Linked DNA regions of Mus musculus. The protein of the gene in region 1 interacts with the protein of each later gene in a pairwise test. Links are inferred from orthologs where the notes say so. Each region holds a gene or a part of one and is shown on either strand. Other genes may lie near its edges.

Evidence for each region. The genes of interacting proteins can lie anywhere in the genome.
Region 2: the proteins of Pak7 (region 1) and Inka1 interact in binary tests that used the Homo sapiens proteins (3 or more experiments, as listed by UniProt). The two-hybrid records come from large-scale screens. The link is inferred for Mus musculus from reciprocal best matches to the Homo sapiens genes PAK5 and INKA1.

Annotation. Positions count from the first base shown.
Region 1 is NC_000068.7:136,383,185-136,393,755, reverse strand, and holds the start of Pak7 (serine/threonine-protein kinase PAK 5), read left to right. Parts: upstream 1-5,788; 5' UTR 5,789-6,062; coding exon of another isoform or gene 6,063-6,102; intron 6,103-10,571.
Region 2 is NC_000075.6:107,981,041-107,991,167, forward strand, and holds Inka1 (PAK4-inhibitor INKA1), read right to left. Parts: upstream 4,877-10,127; 5' UTR 4,708-4,876; coding exon 4,657-4,707; intron 4,025-4,656; coding exon 3,227-4,024; 3' UTR 3,183-3,226; downstream 1-3,182. Other genes in the region: Uba7 (ubiquitin-like modifier-activating enzyme 7), read left to right, coding at 164-256, 350-541, 2,057-2,149, 2,223-2,323, 2,777-2,906. UniProt on the Homo sapiens protein: Inhibitor of the serine/threonine-protein kinase PAK4. Acts by binding PAK4 in a substrate-like manner, inhibiting the protein kinase activity.

The sequences.
Region 1 (10,571 bases):
TGTTGCTTGAGGCTACTAGCCCCCAAGACACAATTCTAGAAATTTAGCTGCCTTTAACTTCTAGAGATTCATCTCTACAGTGATTTATGTCACCATTCCTAGAAATGGAGTTATTATACAAATTAAGGTTAATTTCTGAACTCTTCTTTCTGATATATCATTGTCTATTTTATATGCTGGAACCAAAATGTTTCCATGTTGAATCTTTTAAATAAGGTGTCTCTGAGGACCTGAATATGGAGTTGACCCTGTAGAAGCCAACACTCCCTTTGGCTTCCCCAGTACAGCCCTGGTCTTTCTCTCTGGGCAGTTTTATGCATTTGTTTTAGTGCTAGTTACCCTCATGTTACTATTCTGCTGGTTTATGTTTGTTAGTTGTTCTTTCTCTGTACAGTTTTCCTAGGTAGTCTTGATGTTTTAGACATCACTCTGTCTTTGACTTTTCCCTGTCTCGTTGCAGTTATTCCTTGTATCACTTAGAAACTTAAACCCTAGGAGTGTCTGAGAGCTCGTTTGTTTTTGTTTTTTATTTCCTATTCAGAAATTTATTTAGTTAAGTCATTAGTTACAGTACTGGGGATTCATACTCAGAACTTCCTGTACCACACAGCTGGGTGTACTCATGCACGAATTTTTATAAGCATCACCTTCTTCATCTTCAGCATTTTATAACTACCACATTCTGAATCTCTATACTACTAAACCATAGATCCTCAATTCTTCTTTCCCACAGCCTCTGTTAATCTTCAATCTACTTTCTGTCTCCATCAATCTGACTAGGTATTTAGGTATCTCATATGAACGGAATCATGCAGTATTTACGATATTCTATTTTTCTTACTTTGTTTTGTAGAATGCTTCCATGGCTACTCACTGCTGTCACATGTATCGGATCTTTTGCGTGTTCAGGACTGAGGAATGGGACCATGTCCGTTCATATCACAATTTTTGTATTCATGCATCTTTCTGTGGACATTCAGGTCGTTTCCACTTTTTGGCCTGGTGCTATGAGCATTAAAATGCACATCTTTACATCTCTTTAAGGTCATGAATATATAACCCAAAACAGAATTGATCAATCCTAGACCAATTCTGTTTAAACTGTAAGGAAACATACCATTAATTTTCATAAAAATGATACAACTTAGTATTTTCACTACTGTTGCACAGGCCTTCCAGCGTCTTCACACTCCCACCAATTATTCTTACATTTTGTTCTGTTTTGGCTAATGGATTTTAGTTTAAATTATTTCATATTTTGGTCAGCGACTTTGAATGCCACTTTAAATGCTTATTAATATCTACGTATCATTTTTGGAAGAATCTCATTTTCTGCCCCCCTTTGAATAAGTTTTATGTTGCTTACTTTAAGGGGTCTTAGTCTGAATATGAATCTCTTCTTGCATCTATGATCTGCATGCAGTTTCTTCAGCTTGGTAAGAAGATTTTTCAACAATGATTGTGCTCTTTGGATAGAAGATTTCCATTTCCATGTTCTCAAGTTTAACCAATTTTCATGTCTTGCCTATTCTTTTGGTGTCACATTCAAGAAACAGTTGCTAAATCCAAAGTCGTGATTTCATCATGTTTTCTTCAGTATGTTTTCTAGCTTTTACTCATTTGTGTCTTCTACATACTTGCTCTAGAGTTCTATTTCATTATTTTGCATGTGGGTGTTCAGCTTTCTCAGCAGGATCTGTCAACAAGATTGCTCTTTTCCTCTTCCGTGGTCTTGATACCCTTGTTAACCGTTACTGGACACATGTACAAGAGTTTATTTCTGCATTCCATTCCACTGGTCTAGATATTGGTTTATATGTTCTCTTTAATTGTTTTGGTTACTAGAGTTTTATTAAGTTTTCTAACCTTGTTCTTATTTTTCTAGATTGTGTTTGCTATTTAGGATCTCCACAGACTTCTACAAAATTTAGGATATTTTTTTTTCTATTGCTGTGAAAACATTGTTCAGATTTTCTTAGGATGACTTGTAGATTGCTTGGAGTAGTCTTTGCATTGTCTGCTGCTTCATGAACATGGATTATCTTTATATTTCTTAATGGGTCTAGTCTTAATTTCTAAGTGTCTTATTCTTCTTGAAACTACTATTAAGCTGATTGTCTTAAAAATTTTTCCTTTTAAGTTGTTCACAGTCAGTATATAAAATACAACTGACTTCTATGGGTTAATTATATATCCTGAACCTTTTAGCAATTGTATTAATTTTAAGGTGTCTATATGTCTCTGTGTATATGCATGTGCATGTGTGCATGTGCATGCACACCTTAAGATTTTCTATATATAAGATCCTACTCTATGAAAAAAAAAGTTGTTTACTTTTTTCTTTTTTCCAATTCTGGACTCTAATCCTCCTGGCTGTCCACACAGAATTTTGAAGTAGTAAAATTGATGTCTTTGTTTTCATCCTTTTGTCCCGATCTTAGAGGAAGATGTTCACTATTTCAGCTGCGCATGCTCCTAGTTATAGGAGGTTCAAGCTCTTCATTGTCCATGCACATCTTCTTGGTGCAGCAGCATATGGCAGGAATGCTGTTCTCGGAATGGCTTCTCTCAGCTGTTAATAGTAATAGTTCATGCTTGTGTGAGTCTATTTCTGGGTTTTCTATTTTGGTATCTAAATGTCTCACATGATTTTCTAGTTAAGACAACTACAATCTCAGTACTGTTTAGTCTAGAACCTTTATCTTTCAAAATACACTTGAGATAAAGTTGTCCAGGTCACCAAAAATTTTCAATGTTAATATAGAAATGTCACTGAAAATGTCACTTCATTTAGTATAAAGAGTACATTTTTTTTGACTAGGTTGAGCTTTCTAATATATGAATGTACAATATCTATATATTGGGTCTTTGATTTCATTAGTATGTTGTAATTTAAGAATATTAAGAATATGAGCCCTGAATGATTTTATTAAATCGTCTTAGCATTCTGTTGTTTTTGTTATTGTGTTTCTCATGTAATTTTCTAAATGTTCATGGTTTATATCTAGAGATACAGCTAATTTGGGGGAATGTTACAGAATTTACCTTTTTGTTTTAAGAGCTGTCTTGGAGCTTCCTTGTTAGCTTTTCAAGAGCACAATCAGTGGAATGCATGTAAAAAGTATTTTACTAATTCCTTCATAACTCGGGGTCTTTTATTTTTCTTGCCTAATTTCAGTTGCTATAATTTCTAGTAATATGTTGAAAGAGATGATGGATGAGTCTCTTCTTAGTTTTCCTGAATCTTAGGAGGAAACTATTTTTACTTTCTTTTTTAAATGGCAAGTTCACTAGAGGTTTTTTGTTGTTGTTGTTTGTTTGCTTTTTTGTTTGTTTTTGTTGTTGTTTTTTGTTTTTGTTTTTTGTAGATGCCTTTTATAAATGAGGCAATTCCCTCCCTCAGTTCCTGATGAGTTTCAAGTCTTTATTCAATAATGGGTATCATTTTTTCAAATGCTTTCCTGTATAATTTGATAGGATTTTTGAGTTTGTATGATGGATTATATTGATGCCTATTTACATATTAAGACAGCCCTGAGTTCCTGACATACATCTATGTAGAGATAATATATAATTTTCTCTATGCACTGTAAGATTCAAGGTAATATTTTTTTCTTGGTGTTTGGGATAAAATGTGTGGTGTTATAAGTGTTAGCTAAAAGCTTTTAGTACCTTCTTCATTTGGGTGGGAATGATCCTTTAAGTCACTCTTTAGTTCAGACAAGTTTTGAATTCATGATTCTCCTGTCTCAGCCTCCTGAGTAGCTGGGACCATGGACCTGTACTAGGATACTCAGCCCTTCCTGCAGCTCTCAGGAATGGTTGTTTGTAGGTTTATAAGATATATTGTTTAGAGGACTTCTCTTCTACTAAGTTTATTTGGTTTTGGTGTCAGGGAAATTATAGCCTCATAAATTAGTTGAGCCATGTGTTCTCTTGCTTTCTGGGAAATAATTGTGTGAAAATAGTTTTTGTTTTGTTTTTGTTGTTTTGTATTTTACACTACTTAGAGCGTTTCTCTAGTGAAACCATCTAAGCCTGGTAGTTTCCTTTGGAGCAGATTTTCATTTATGATTTTTTTCTATCAGTTGTTTCATGGCTATTCATGATGGCATAATTATAATATAAAATTATATTATTCAGATTATATAGTTCACTTTGGCAGTGTGTGCACTTTTTATTGATACTAAAACTACAAGTAAACTTCATCTTAATAAAATATTTCCTGTCATTTGCATCTGTCCAAGTCCACATAGGGGAAAGTAAAGAATAGAAAATATTATGCCAATGGCCATGGGACAGCAATCCAGTTGGTGAGAGGTGAGGTAGGGCTATTTGAGCAGTTTCAAGCATTGATAAATTTATTGACTTTAGTCATATGAATGGGAAAAATAGGATTTGATAGGCCAAGATACATATGTCCTTCACACTTAGAAACATCAGTGGAGAACAGTGACCATCTATCTGTTCTGTGATCTATTTTTTAAAGATTTATTTTTATGTGTATATATGTGTCTGGATGCTTCTTTGTGTACCAGGTGGAAAAAGGCACCACTGATACCAGAGGAGTGTGTGAGATCCACTGGAGTCAGAGTCACGTACAGCTCGGACCCACCCTATACAACTGAACCTGGGACCTCTGGATGGGCAACATGAGTTCTTAACAGCTGTGGCAATATCTTTAGCACCAGCTCCTGCCATGATTCTGTTTTGATATATAAGTTACTTCAGTGAAAGTAGTGTGTGAACAGATAAGCCACGGGGACAGGAGATGATAAGCATCTACTATTCACTAGCAAACTGGCCCTGTTTTATAACCGACTTATTCAGTTATAGGATCAGACACTATATTCTCATAAGGACAATCTAGAGATCTCTGAGGATGAAGAAGGATGTGGCTCTCTCAAAACCAAGATTAAAGTCTCTTGGTTGGTTTTGTGAATTGATTGGTTTCATGTGGGCAGTGACTAATCTCAATATTACCGATACCTCCTGTGGTCTTTTGCTCTCAAAAGACCAGTCAGTCTCAACTGTCAAGCCCAGCCTTGACATTACATCGAACCTCTCAGGTTTTGTCCCAGGCTCAGAGAAGACAGGTAGACAGTCAGGATAGACTGGTTCAGGCTTGAATTGGACAACAGGTCAACAACAGGTCAACTGACTGAGCACGAGTTTCCTAGTCTCAAGTATCAAAGCGATTGTGAATTGATCCAAGAGCCCATCGTCTCCGAAACTCCTAATTCTAGATCAAACTAATGGTTTTATGCTGTCTTCAGTGTGTGCCCTACAAAGCCTCTTTCCAGGAAAGGCATGACATCCCAGGGGACATCCTCCCTTGAACCGCTGCTATCATCAAAAGCTGAAGGTAACTCCTTAGGCTGATAAGTCCATTGCTGATTAAAGACTCCATGACCAATTAGAGGTTATAGAAGATGTTTCTGGATTCTTGCACCTCCTGACCTTTCAGAGGACCAGCCGAATGGCACGGGGACTTTCAGGACCAGGCAGTTGAATCCAAATCTGTATTTTAAATCAAAGGCTCATTAAAGTTTGCGAAGCACAGGACCAGGTGATGCTAAAGAGACTAGCTAGCATACTGATGTAGTGCGGCTTTGCAAAGGTCCTATAGAAAATTTGGACAAACTGGGATGTTCAGGGAGGGGTATGCGGGAGTAGCCCGCAGGGGGATGGTAGAAGGAAAGTGTGATCCGATTGGCTGTTTTCTCCAGCTCGGGCGTGCAGACACTCCCTCCACACTCCCCCTTTCACCCCCCTCAATTGCTACAGCTTTCCTACAGCGGGCTGCTCCTAAAACCCGGAGCAGCTGAGTGGTCTCAGCGGACAGTCCTCCTAGGGGCGAAGCCAGGCGGCTTGGGCATGCTCAGTAGCTGGGAGAGGTTTGGGAGGAGAGTAAAAAGCTTTGACTCTGCCCCCACCCCCTCCTCTAGCCCCCGCCCCCCTTGCCCCTTCCCAGCCGTAGTAGTTCCCTGGCGTGCGCCCGTGGAGAGCAGGAACATGGCGCTTGGAGCGATATAACAGATGTAGCAGCAGCGGAGAAGCAGATGAGGTACCGCGACTTCTCTGCTGACAGCCAGCCACCAGGTAGGCAGGAGCACCGGGCAGGTCGGCTTATGGGTAGCGGCTCCAGAAGGGGCGCTTGCCAAGATGCGCACGGTTGCTACACCGGGCATCTGGCTTTGCCTAGAGAGGATGCGAAAGGAGACCTCTATGACAGCACAATTGATTGTGCATCTCCTAGGAGATGCCAAAGGCTGGGGACCTCTGAGAATGGGCAAGGGATCCAGGGTCCGCCCACTCCCCAACCCCCAATCTTTGCGATATCATCCAGCTTGGGCTCTTCACCGGTCAAATAAAGGATAGCGCTCTTATGCTAGGATGGAGGGCGTAGGAGATCACCCTGGATGCCAGCTCTAGGAGTCTGCTGGTACCCCGAAAGGCTAGCAAGCCCAGCAGCAGTTCTTTGTGTATGCACTCGCGCACGCCCTGCCGGTGATACGACAGTGCCTGCTGCTCCCAGGGAGTGCTGGATGCATTGCCAGGGCAGGGTTCCCATATGGTTTTTGTCTTTTAGCAGGTGTGGACCACCAGATGCAATAGCGGAACCTTTATGGGACTGTGTTTTCCTTTGTTGTTTGTCTCTGTTCGCTTAGTGGGTTGCAATGGATTGGGAAAGAACTTCTGCTTGTGAACATTGGTGGACAGAATGTGGAAGAGAATATCACTTCCAAACTCTGGTTAAAATTCTGTACAATGTCAGTCTCCTAGAGGATAAACTTGGAAAGTCTCAGGACTGTCAAGTGTCCAGTTTAGGGCACAAATGTGAGCATCCGTTTTGAAACCGAGTGTGTCTGGAGCTTTCCATTGTGATAGGGTAGAAGTTAATTTGCCAGCATTCATATCTCAATTAAGGGAGCCCTAACCTTTCAAAGAACTGAACAGATCTTTTAAATATTAGAGTAGTAAAGAAAAAAATGTCTTGGCCAATAATTGATAACGACTTGGAAAACTGGATACACTTCTGGGGAAATAGGTACTTCACAAAACATCAGAGACCCTCTTGTGGCATTTGGTGTAAAGGCAGCATCTTTAATTTACAGATGGACACATTACTCCCTGAAGAAGTCCCTCCTACACAAGCCTTCTTAAAGTTGACATTCTGCAACAACAGATGTGACACCTTACAGTTGTATCTGTTATGATTAGCAGCATAGCCCCCTGAGAGGGAGGAAAGGTAAATTTAGAACACACCTTCATCCCCTGTTTTATCTTTTCAGGCTGGGCATCTGTCTGTGAATATGAAGTTTAGATACTTTCCTCTGCACTTACACTATTTATTCTTATGATCTCCTTAGGTGGCAAGAATGAGTCAGTATTGTGATAATGAAACAGAGACTGCAGGAGGGAAATGAATTTAAGTAGAGTAAAGCTATAAGTGTCCAATCTGATAACACCTTGACTTTGAATACACGTGTGCAAAGCAGAACTTCTAATGAAAGCTGTAGAAGCTAATGGCAAGTTCATTGACAATACTTGTAGTAGAATAAACTTCGTGTTCCTCTGTGAATAAGAGATTGATTGTACTCAGTCCTTGCAACTTATCATTTAATTAACAAACGTGAGTTTTGATTGTAGGCATTGAAAGCCGAGGTTGCCAATGCCTTTCCTACATCCTCAGAATATGCTGCAATGGACAGGCACCAGAGACAGATGTTCTGGAATACAGTGTCATTTTAGTGATGAGATAAAGCTAAATTTGAACTCTGGTTCCTCCGTATTTAGGTGTGGGATTTTGTGGAAGTGATTTAATGTATCAGCAACAAAGACTTGTGATTCACAAAGCAAAGCCCACATAAATGGATAGATGTAGACATTAATAATAATACAAAGAAACTGGGCATGGGGAAATCTCTTTGAGAAGGACATGTATGTGTTTGGAACCCATGTTATATGTATTTGCTATGCAAGTCAAATTCAATTTACTTTTACTGAAATACTCCAAATTGTTTTATTTCTTAGCACTGACATAGCCATACACCCCCAACTTGGTAGCTTAAAGAAGTAGAAATTTATTGATGCAGATCTGGGTATTTTCTGTCTAATATCTCAGTGTTAGCATGGCAATCCTCTGATGCTCTTAGGAGAAGGTGATTCTTATAGTCTTAGACATACCTTACCCCAATCACGTTATTCTGTTTCTACCTTCATGTCCATGTGTTCTCCTCTCTGTGTCTGTTCTCCTGTCCATGTTTCAGTCTTTATGTAAGGACACTGTTCCTATATCATTTAGAGCTAACTATAGCCTTGTCTTAATTCAATTACAACTGCAAAGATCAGACTTGTAAAGTAGGTCACATGGACAAGTTCAGGGTTGTCATTGAGTTTAGGGGAGAGAAAATTTAACTTACTTTACTAACTTTTCTAATAACAATGATAGGATCAATACTATGCCATCAAGTTTCAGAATATGAAGAATAGTATGGGTTCAAAAACCCTGCTGGCATGGGATATTTAATGTAACTAACTTATCTGAATTTTGTGTTCCCAAGTGTGACAGTGAAGGGAAGGGTGATAGACACGTCACCATGAGTCACTTACATGAAAACTGAAACAAAGTGGGACTTAGGCTTTCTATACGTGCTGAGGAATTTCATACGTCTTCTCCCTTTTGGGCTATATTACTAAGTCAAAACACATCATCATCAACAACACCTACAACATAACAGCAAAAAAATGAAAATCCTACACCTTTTCTTCTTTTTAATATATTTATTTTTATTTATAGATATACATTTTATTAGCTCCTTGAGACTTTCTTATATGCACATAATGTATTTTCTTCTTATTCACTCTGTCACTCCTCTATCTAAATCCTTCCATGTTCCTTCTAAATTTATGCTCTCTCTCTCTCTCTCTCTCTCTCTCTCTCTCTCTCTCTCTCTCTCTCACACACACACACACACACACACACACACACACACACAGGGATAGAGATAGACATAGAAACATAGAGAGACAGAGATACAGGGACACAGAGAGAGACAAGAGAGAGTTTGGGCTGCCTATAGACTCATGGGTTTAGGGCCATCCAATGGAGGGTGGTATTTATAAAGCATGTTTGTATATGTATATGTGTATGTGTATGTGTATATGTATGTACTATGTGTTTCTGTGTGTGGGATGTATGTACATGTTGTAGCACATGTGAAGATGTCAGAGGCCAACTAGCAGAAATAATTTTTCTCCTTCTCTATGTATGTTCCAAGGATTGAATTAAGGTCATTAGGTCTGATGACAAACACCTTTTACCTCCTGAGTTATCTCAACTGTTTATAGCTCTTCTTCTTCTTCTTCTTCTTCTTCTTCTTCTTCTTCTTCTTCTTCTTCTTCTTCTTCTTCTTCTTCTTCTTCTTCTTCTTCTCTTCTCCTTCTCCTCCTCCCCTCCTCCTCCTCCCCCTCCCCCTCATCCTCATCCTTATCCTCCTCATCCTTCTTTATCACTTTATTTTTTGTGGGGGATTTAAAAAATTAGTTCTCATGATTTCTAATCATTAGTTCTTCAAGAATTCCACACACTGTCTTTTGACTATAACCAATCCTCCTAGATCCAATCCCCATAGCATTCCCACTCAAATTTTTTGTTCCAATTTTTTTATAACCCTTGAAGTCTAATTTACGCTGCCTATATATTGGGTGTGTTGCTGTGCATTGGAGAGTTTACAGCTACCAGACACCACACCATTTAAGAAAACTGCATTACTTCTGTCAGCAACTGAGAGTTTCCAATATCTCCTCAGGCAGGGCTGGGACTCTGCCCATTTCCCCACTTCATGGCTTGAGCGTTTGCAGGTCTTGTTCCTGTTGCTGCAATAGCTGCAAGTTCATAGGTGCAACTGTCTTGTTGTGCCAGGAAAAGGGCTGTTTCCTTGTCACTCACAGCTTCTCTGTTCCCCTTCTTCAATGATTACTGAGTTTTAGGAGGGTGATATCTGGTCCTGGGTAGGAAGGCAGAACAGAAGGTATGGGGAGGAATAACTAGCATCAAAGACCTTCTAGAAAAGTTACACGAAAACCCATTACTTCCTAAACTGTAAACACCACATCACAACACACACACACACACACACACACACACACACACACACACACACTCACTCACTCACTCACTCATACACAATGGACTTACTTTATATCAGGGCAATAATGCACCTACTAGGTACCATAGGTTAAGAAACAAGGAGAACCCTAACAGGATTATCTCTACTGGATTTTGTTGTCCAGTAATGTCACTTAGATTCCCCTAATACCACAGCTTTGCTTTGCTTTTCTTATTGTGATAAATGGTATACAGTTTATGAAGATCACTTAAGCAGAATAGCAGGCATCACCTTTGACACTTCCATTTCCTTTGCCCTGAACAGCCCAAAGTGCCACATAGTCTTAAAAATTGAAGCTTTGGTATCTTTTTCTAAAATACATGTTGCCATCTCTGACACTACTATAAAAGACAAAGCCATATTCTCTTCCCTAGATCATGAGTACAACTTCCTAAG
Region 2 (10,127 bases), on another chromosome or scaffold:
GAAGCAGCTCACACCCCTCGCATCTCGGCCACACTGTGTGGCAAAGGCGGGAGATGGTGGCTACCCAACCACAAAACTGTCCAGACACCTGTCAGTGGCCTGCAGGTGGCCATGCTGAGGGATACCACTGCAGTGTGACACTCCTGTGATCTGGGCCTGGCAGGATGATGACAGCAACTTCCATGTGGACTTTGTGGTAGCAGCGACAGACCTGCGATGTCAGAACTACGGGATCCTACCAGTTAATCATGCTCGGGTAACTTCACCCCTTTGGGGCTCAGGCCTAGAAGTGAGAGCCAAACCTTATCCCTGAACCTTGAGCCCAGACCAAATGCCCTGTCCTTGACAGATCAAGCAAATCGTGGGCCGGATTATCCCAGCCATTGCCACCAGTACAGCAGTTGTGGCAGGCTTACTGGGCCTGGAGCTGTATAAGGTGGTAAGCGGGCTCCGATCCCATGGTACCTTTCGTCACAGCTATCTGCACCTGGCTGAAAACCACTTCATCCGCTCAGCGCCTTCTGCCCCAGCCGTCCAGTCGGTGAGCCTCTGATGCCCCCTGTTCCTACTGGGCCTGAATTTTCCCTCTACTTGCCCAAGCAAACAGTTCTCTCTCTAGCTGTGGGCTCTCTCCAGGCCCCAGACTATGGGGGAGTCCTCTAGACTGCATCCAGCGCCCTTCCTGCTATGAAGCTAGACTGGGACCTGTCAGACACAGGAAACAGCCATCAGCCATACCCCCCAGCCTCCCTGCAGTCCAGGGTCTGGGGGAGCTGCAGCTTTAACTCATTAGTGGAGCCAGACATCCCCCATGGCCCCCTCCTTCTCCTTCTCCGTAATATCCTGGTGGGAAGGAGGAGGGAGGGGCAACTGTAGACTCAGCCACAGAAAGAATCTAGCTTCCTTTTGAGGAGCCCTGTTCTGTTCACCTTAAGCCAAGTTAAAGGGCATCAGGCTTGCTACCAGGAGCGTGGGCCTCAGCCCTATGGGACAGAATGTTTATACCACTACATAGGAGTGCACCAAGGTCTGGGCATCCCTGGTATGTGGACATGAATCAGGCTTGCACATCTGTGTGCCAGATGGAGGAACAGGATCTTCCTCAATGTGACTATGTGCGTGTGGGCACATACGTGGGTGCTGTTGGTTGTGTGTGTGTGTGTGTATGTTGGGGGTGGGTTGTTCCCATGAAGACAGGATGGCAATGCCTCCAACTGTGTGCCCAGGCTCTGCCCCAGTTGGCATTTCCCCGAGGCACAGGAAAGAGGACAGAATAAATGCCCTCACTAGAAGAGAGGACAGAGGTCACCAGCTAGCCTAGGGTCCTTCTGGACAAGCACACAGAACCCTTTTGTGAGGTGCCCCACTGTTAACCAGCACAGAGGCTGCCTTTGTCCATAGAATGGGGGTGGGTAAGTGTCCCCATCCTGCCTTTAGCCTAGTCTCAGCTCGACCCCAGTATGTTTTCTGATGGTTGGGAGGGCTGATGCCTGCTACATCATCAGCCCTCAGCTATAGGTACCAAAACTTTTGACCTGGGAAGAAGATGGGACAAGGATAAAAGTTTCTGTAGACTGTATCCGTGTTAGCAGGGACCCTCTGAGTCAATAGGGTTCCACTGTTACCATGCCCTTGGTTTCTGCATGCCGGCGAGCAGTCTGAAGCCCTGTTTGTAAGGGCTGAGTAGCATGAGCTGTATCTCCAGGCTCCCAGCCTCCCCTTAGAGGAACAAGCTGCTTTATCGGAGACTCCAGCGACGCAGCTCCAGCTTCCTCAGGAAGCAGCCCCAGTCTCCCCCTCTCCAGCTGGCCTGTGCGATGGACGTCTGTTTCCCCATACAGGGCCCCATAGCTCCATTTCCTGTGCTGGCCCCAGCCTGGGCGGGGAGGGGGCTGAGACTCTGGGCCCAGATCCCACCTTCCGCCCCCCCACCCCTTGGCCGCAGCTTCCTGCCTCTAGAGCGGCTCCTCCTCTAGGAAAAGCTGCTGGTTAACTGGGCCAGGGGTTGCAGGTTTGTGTGAGAAATCTCTAGATCCCTCTCCTCTCCATCCTGTAGTTCCGTGACCTGAAATGGACCTGTTGGGACCGCCTGAAGGTGCCCGCTGTGCAGCCTGAAAGGACACTGAAGTCACTGCTGGCCCATCTCCAGGTATGCCCTGTCTCCACTCAGCCCCTGGCCCAGCCCAGCCTGGCCCAATGGGCATCTGATGTATACCTTCTAGGAAGAACATGGACTGAAGGTGGAGATGCTTCTCCACCACCAGGCTCTGCTCTATTCTTCAGGATGGTCATCTGAAAAGCAGGCTCAACACCTGTGCCTCAGGTGAGCCGGTCGTAGCCAGGCTCTACCATGTCCCTGGAGGTTGAGCATGGGTGACAAGGTCTTTTTCTCCACCCCATTTTAGGCCCCTCACACCTTCTTGAAGCATTCTTCCACCAAATGGAGCCAACAAATGGGCCTGGGAGGGGGTGGAGCTAAGGGCCAGAGGAAGGGGACTTCAGTAGCTGTCTGCTTGGCCAGCCCCCTTGGCTTCCCATACCCTGCCCAGCCCCCATCTCCCTTCACAGCCTGCTCTCGAGGGACAAACAGCTTCCTGCCTCTTGCCTGCCCCACCAGCTGCTCCTAAAATAGTTTCAGATGTTTCCTGCCTTGGGCCGCTCCTGCTCCTGGTTGGGGCTCTTGAGGGCTCACCAGCACCCTCTTGTCCACACTAGGTTGCCCTCTGTCTGCCTTGACCCACCTACAGAGTCTCCCCTAAACCCCCTCCCATACCAGGGTGACAGAACTGGTTCAGCACGTGACCGGCTGGAAGCCCAAGCCTGGGCTGAAGGTTCTGGTGTTTGAGCTGAGCTGTGAGGGCGAGGAGGAAGAAATGGCCTTCCCACCTCTGCATTATGAGCTGTGACGAGGTAGCCACACCACGCCACCACTTGGCCATAACAAACTCTGCATAAAATTCCTACATCTTCAGCTCACAGCAGATACTTCAACAATAAAAACTTGTTGACGGAAGGCACAAGTGAAGTGGATGGTAGAAAATGAATGGTAAGGTACACACAGGTGATACGGGTAAGACAGGAACCCTGGAAAAGGAGAGGGAACATTCTAGACTGGCCTGTCTTAGCTGTGCTCCACAGGGCCAGAGATACTTCCTGAAGCCTCAGGAGTATGGGACCAGCAGTTTAGGAAAAAAAGCCTTTATTGTCCCTAGCTGGAGGGGCAGGGTCAGAGGTAGCTGACATCATTGTAGATAATAGGTTGGCGACTTCGACAGTTCATGAGGGCTGCAAATCGTGAGATGTCTGCAGGCAGGTCAGGTTCTGAGCGAGGTGGGCAGGACAACCTCTTGCTTGCCATAGCTGTCCGTCGAGCCCTGGCCAGCCTACGCCGTAGCTGCTCAGAGAGACCAAGCAGGAACTGAGGGGGTCGAGCCCGTGCTCGGGGTACATCTCCATCACTCCCCTCACTGGTTGCTTCAGGCAACTCCATCCAATTGTGAACTAAATCAGCAAAACAGTTATCCCCTAGCACCAGGGGCTGCCGACTGCGGCCCCTGTTCAGCAGGGCTGCCGTCCAGTCCTCTGCTTCCAATCCCTGCCAATGTTCCAGGCAAGCATCTGGGGTGGACTTGGGCCTCGGACGGTGGGCAGGAGGTATGTTGGTTACAGCTGCCCTACTGCGCATAGGAATGTCACTGACTGAGAAACGCTGGCTATGAGGTGGACGTTCTCGAGGTGCTTGGCGCTGGGGTACAGACGGCTCTTCCTCTCGCCATGTACTGCCTGACACCTCGGAGAAGCCAGAGTCCCAGTCTAGAGCATGCTCCCTAGGACATCCCAAGGGTAAACCCTTGTCTTCTGCTACCAAGCCTTCCTCCTCTTCCTCTTCTACACAGCAGACAGAGTCCTCTTCCAAAACATCCGAGGCCCTGAACTGGCGCTTTGGCTGTACATTTTGATCAGTTCTGGGTTTTGGTTGCAGTGGGCCAGACATTGGAGGTGAGCCTGTGTCCCGAGCACACAACTGGAGAGAAAGATAGGGCAAATGTTGGTCAGGAATCTCTTAGCCCCTGACTCCTTAGTGTCTAACCAAGCCAGCCCTGAGAACGGAGGTTTCAGAAGGACTTGAAAAACCTCTGGGCAGCAAGGCGGAACTGTAAGCATAGGGCCCACATGGGGGCACTGGCACTCGAGGCTCATGTGGCTCCCATCCGCAGAGCTGGTGGCAGTCCGGCAGGCTGCAGCACGCAGGGCCGGGCAAGTCAGCACGCGCCACCAGGGCGGGCAGGCAGAGTAGAGGAAGGAGGTACAGGCCAGCCCGTGGTAGGGGATGTCCACAGCAGCACAGCACTTCTTTAGGCCCTGGGTGCTCCCTGTCGGTCCCCAAAAGAAACTTCTCTTCCCCAACTCTCCTTCCCCGCCAACCCCTGCCGCTAGCACGGCCAGCTGGGCGCCTGTTACCTGATGCCCAGAACAATTCCCAACCGTCAGAAACCCGAAGCGGGCCATCTGGGCCATCTGTAGCGCGCTACCCTGCCCCCATCCTGACTCAGATGGGTACCCGGAGTCCACCCGGTTGCCGTTTGTTGTTCCATCCAGGCGGCAGCCACGCACCCCACACACATCTTCACAACCACACCCACTCCAAAGACTCACCAGTTCCCAGCGGAGCTGGCTCAGGAAGCTGTCAAGCCGAGCGCTGTGCATGCTGGTGCTGGTGCTGTACACTCTCCAGGTCGGCCGGCTCACCCGCCGATCACCCGCGGGAGCGGCGCAGAGTGGGCCGGGTCGGCCCGCGGGTGGTGGCGTCCTCACCCTTGCCTTACTCTAAGGCTCCTTGCTCTCGGTAGCTCCCGCCGCTGCCGCCCCAACATCTGGCAGCCGCGCCCCGCCCCTCCCCGGCGCCCTAGCCAATGGAGGCGGGGCAGGATGAAGTTGTCCTGCCCCTTTCAGCCCCGCCCTCCAGCCCCCACTCTGCTGGTGGAGCCCGGCTGTAGTAGCACGGGAGACCAGAGTGCAGCTCAGGACCCCTTTATGTCTCAAAAAGTTTAGTTAACCCGGCTGTAACGCAGTCCCGACACGACCCCCTCCCGCCCCCGCACGTTCGTCCCGTGCAATTTGTCCCCTGGTGAAATAGCGGTTTCTTGTACTGGGGCCCGATGCCACACCCACGTGTGGGCACTTTCTTCTTCTTTTTTGTTTGTTTGTTTGTTTTTTGTTTTCGAGACAGGGTTTCTCTGTGTAGCCCTGGCTGGCCTGGAACTTACTCTGTAGACCAGGCTGGCCTCGAACTCAGAAATCCGCCTGCCTCTGCCTCCCAAGTGCTGGGATTAAAGGCGTGCGCCACCACCGCCCGGCGCGCCTTATCTTCTGATTTGACAAGGTTGTGGCCCACTCGGGGTCTGTCCAGGCTGGCCTTGACCATCCCTGGAAATGATAGGACCGAAATTCCTTCCGGCCGGCGAATAGTCAGTGAAGAGCCTTAAGACAGAGAGAGTAAGGGAATGGCCAAGGCAAAATCCCCTCCACCTTCCCTCCGGCCTGATCTGAGCCGAGATAGGCTGGACCGCCCTCTAGTGGGGATCGCGGGGCTATGGTCTGCATCCTCACTACACCCTCACAATGGCATGCAGGAATGGAAGAGGAAAACTGCTCTTTGGCTCGATTGTTTAAAGCCTTTCCCCTGAGGCCACTCCATAACCAGAGGTACAGTCGAACTGAAGACAGGTTGAATCTATCCTCAGACAAAAAATAACAGGAGAACGAGGACAATGAGTTCAGTTAAGGGATAGAGAACTCTTAAAAAGATATGGCTGATATCAGATCAATCCATTTGAGTCCAGTGAGGAAGGGCATTTTAGGTGAAAGGGTCTGCCAATGTAAAGTATATTGAGGGACAGGGCTAGGCAGACCAAACGAAAGGAAAACACAGATGTGTGTGACGGATGGGTCAGGGGTCTGTGAATGGAGAGAAGTCATCAAAACCATAAGAAGACTTAGGGGAGTCTCTGGGCTTTATTTTTGGTACCATAGAGAGAGCATGGAGCTTTTTAAAAGGAATGACCCAGGCTGTTTTCTGCGAGATACAGTTGTTTTAGGAGAAGAACTCTGCAATCAAAGGAGGTTCTAGCCTTTATCCCAGGCAAGGGTGTGTGTCTGAAAGCCTGGTTCTGAACCCAGAGGGTAATCAGAAGCATCGTTCTAGACTCCAGAATCTAGAGCTAAACTCTAGCCTGACTGATGCAGGTAGGTAAAGCATGGCCTCCAAGTTTCCAGTGTGAACAGCTGGATGGATGGCACTGCCATTAAAATCACCCAGGAGGAAGAAACCTCTGCTTCCCCTTCCCATAGACAGCGCTGCCGGTCACGATGGTGACAAAGACTGAAGAGTACACCAAAGCTGGCCTCACAGCTGTATGGTCCGGTAGAAAGCATGTGGGCCAGATCCAAATAGGCCTGGATTCTCTGTAAAACTGGGATAATCTGTGAATTACAGAGCAGCATGGGAGCTAGCTCTGCACAGCTGTTGAAACTGCTGTCTAAATACTTGGAGCCTTTACCCCCTGGGTGTGGTTCCTTGGTTTTAGTTAGGTGTTTGTTTTGTTTTGTTTTTAAGGACTATGAAACCAGCGAAGGGACCCTCAGCTATGATCTGGTCTGCAGTTAGAAAAACATCACAGGAAGGAAGGGGCGCAGGCAGAAGGACAGCTCTGAAAGCAGAATCTTTTGGCTAGATGCTGTAGGATTTATACACATGTAACTAGAAAGATGCTATATGATTTACACACGTGTGACTAGATAAAATTCTTATTTTTTGCTTGTTTATCCCTGTTTTTTTCTTTTTTGTTGTTTTGTTTTTTTTGTTTTGTTTTTTGTTTTTTTTTTTCAAGACAGTGTTTCTCTGTGTAGCAGCCCTGGCTGTCCAGAGCTCACTTTGTAGACAAGGCTGGTCTCGAACTCACAGAGAGCCACCTACTTGTGCTTCCCTGAGTGCTGGCAGTAAAGGTGAGCACCACCAGCATCCAGCTAGATTTTATTTCAATCCAGTAAAAACTGGAAAGAGAGGCTGGAGAAGTGACTCAGCAGTTAAGAACACTGGCTGTCCTTGTAGAGGAGCCTGGTTTGATTCCCAGAAATACTTTCTGTAACTTTAGTTCCCGAGGGTCCTCCTCCCTCTTCCGGTCTCTGTAGACACTGTACACATGCAGTGCACATGTGTATATCAGGTAAGACACTCAGGTAGTTAGAACAAAAAAAATAAAAGAAAATCTGGCTCTTGCCCTCTTGCTCTTGTTCCCTCCCTCCCCCCCTTCCCTTCCCCCTCTCTCCATGTACTCATGGCTGGCCTCCCCCCCCCCTTCTCTCTCCCCCTCCCTCCCTCCCTCCCTCCTCCTCCTCTTCCTTCTTCTCCTCCCCCCATGCCCTGAATAAACTCTATTCTATACTATACGACATAAATAGCATAGTATATACGACCCCTCAGGGGGAAGGGATGCCTCAGCATGGGCCCACAGACACACCCCTTCCCCCACATCATATTGCTTCTCTTTCTGTAATGTGGCTTTTTGGAGAACAAAGAACTGGCAGCTTGGGGTGGGGGTGAGGGGAAAGGGGATGGAGGGACAGGAGAGCCACATGAAGGGACACAACGGCAGGGGTTTGGGGTTGAGTTCAGATGGTAGCTGAGGTTCTGTTCCAGCAAAGGCCAACAGCCTTATGGTATACAAACGTCTCTGGGTCTTTATTACTAAACCTCAAGCAGGATTCCCAGAAAAGCCCCCACACTGCTCAGCAGTCACTTCCAGGTTCCAGAACTCAAAAATTAAATGTTTACTGGTTGGCTTTTTTTTTTTTTTTTTTTTCGAGACAGGGGTTTCTCTGTGTAGCCCTGGCTGGCCTGGAACTCACTCTGTAGACCAGGCTAACCTCAAATTCAGAAATCTGCCTGCCTCTGCCTCCCAAGTGCTGGGATTAAAGGCGTGCGCCACCACTGCCCAGCAAATGTTTACTGTTTAAGCCACTCAGTCCATACTAGTTTCTTATAGTAGTCTTGAAAAATACTATGTTAAAAATGCTTTGGGAGCCGGGCAGTGGTGGCACATGCCTTTAATCCCAGCACTTGGGAGGCAGAGGCAGGCGGATTTCTGAGTTCAAGGCCAGCCTGGTCTACAGAGTGAGTTCCAGGACAGCCAGGGCTACACAGAGAAACCCTGTCTCAACCCCCTCCCCCACACACACACACATCTAAGCTGGGCATGATGGCACATACCTTCTTTAATCCCATCACCCAGGAGACAGAGGCAGGCAGATCTCTGTGAGTTCAAGACCAGCCTGGTCTACATAATGAGTTTCAGGACAGCCAGGGCTATGTAGAAAGACACTTGCCTTGAAAAAAAAAAAATCTTCAAAAGAAAAAAAAAAAAAAGAAGCAAATTCTCCTTGTAGACATGTGAATTTTTTTTAATTAATTAATTTATTTATTGTATATGAGTACACTGTAGCTGTCTTCAGACACATCAGAAGAGGGCATCAGATCCCATTACAGATGGTTGTGAGCCACCATGTGGTTGCTGGGAATTGAACTCAGGACCTCTGGAAGAACAGTCGGTGTGCTCTTAGCTGCTGAGCCATCTCTCCAGCCCCCGACATGTGAATCTTGAGGAGAAGCAGGGTCCACTGCAAAATGTGTGAGTGCGGAGCTCAGGAGAGAGAAACACTGAGGTGGAGCAGAGTGGAGGGTAAAGCCAGTGGGTGGCATCTTAGGCCATGGCCTTGGAGGAGACGGAGGTGGAGAATGTAGACAGAGGAGGGGAGAGGCAAGCATTTTCCAGGCCTGGAAACATTTCACTGGTTGGAGGTAGGAAAGGTGAGGCAGAAGTGTCGAGGAGCTATCCAAGAATAGAAAGACATAGGAGAACTCTGAGCCAGCATGGGTGTGTCGGAGGTGATGGGAGCAAGCATCAGGTATTTAGGAGGAGTGAGAGCAAAGGATACATGTCTGGAGTGGGGGGAAACAGTTTAGTCAGCGAAGCGCTTACACTACAAGAATTAAGACCTGAGGATACTCAGAACCCATGTTCAAAAAAAGCCAAGCGTGGCAGCAATGGTTTGTTGTAATTCCCCGGTGCTGAGAAGGAGAGATAAGGGCAGACAACCTGCTGAGCTGGTGATCTCCAAGCCTGGTCTACAAAGTGAGTTCCAGGTCAGCCAGGGCTACACAGAGAAACCCTGTCTCGAAAAAACAAAAATACAAAGAGAGAGAGAGAGAGAGAGAGAGAGAGAGAGAGAGAGAGAGAGAGAGAATGAGAGAGATTCTGTTCCAAACAACAGAACCAACCAAGCTGAACAGCTCCTGAGGAATGTGCCTGAGGTTGGCCTCTGGCCTCCACATGAGTACCAATCCAAACACACACCTCCACTTACACACAAAAGAACAACCTTCTGGCTTCAGAGTATGCAATGGCTTGTGCCTGCAGTCTCAGCTACCTGGGAGGCTGAAGCAGGGGTAGCCTGGGCAACGTAAGGAAACCCTGTTTCTTTTGACAGGGTAAGACCCGGTGAGATGGCTTATTGGATCATGAAAAACCTAAGACCTGAGTTCAAGTCCTATAGTAAAAGAGAGCTGACTTCTGAAAGTTGTCCTCTGACCCCCACACAAGTGCTATAGCATATGCCCAAGTTCACACACACACACACAAACACACACACACTAAAATTTTTAAAAAGATAACTAAGGCTGGTGAGATTGCTCAGTACCAACATCTGCTGCTGCTCTTGCAGAGGACCTGGTTTGATTCTCAGCACCCATACACTGCTTCAAAACCATCTGTAACTCCAGTTCTGGGGAATGTGATACCCTCTCTGGCCTCTGTGGGCATAAGACATGTATATGGTACACATAATATATGTAGGCAAAACACTCATATAGGAAATAAAAGTAGCCAGGCAGTGGTGACTGCCTATGCCTTTAATCCCAGCACTTGGGAAGCAGAGGTAGGTGTGTCGCCTCTGTGAGTTCCAGGATAGCCTGCTCTACAGAGTGAGTGCCAGAATAGCCAGGGCTATACCAAGAAAACTGTGTTTCAAAAAACAAAAACAAAAACAAACAAACAAAAAATAAATAAATA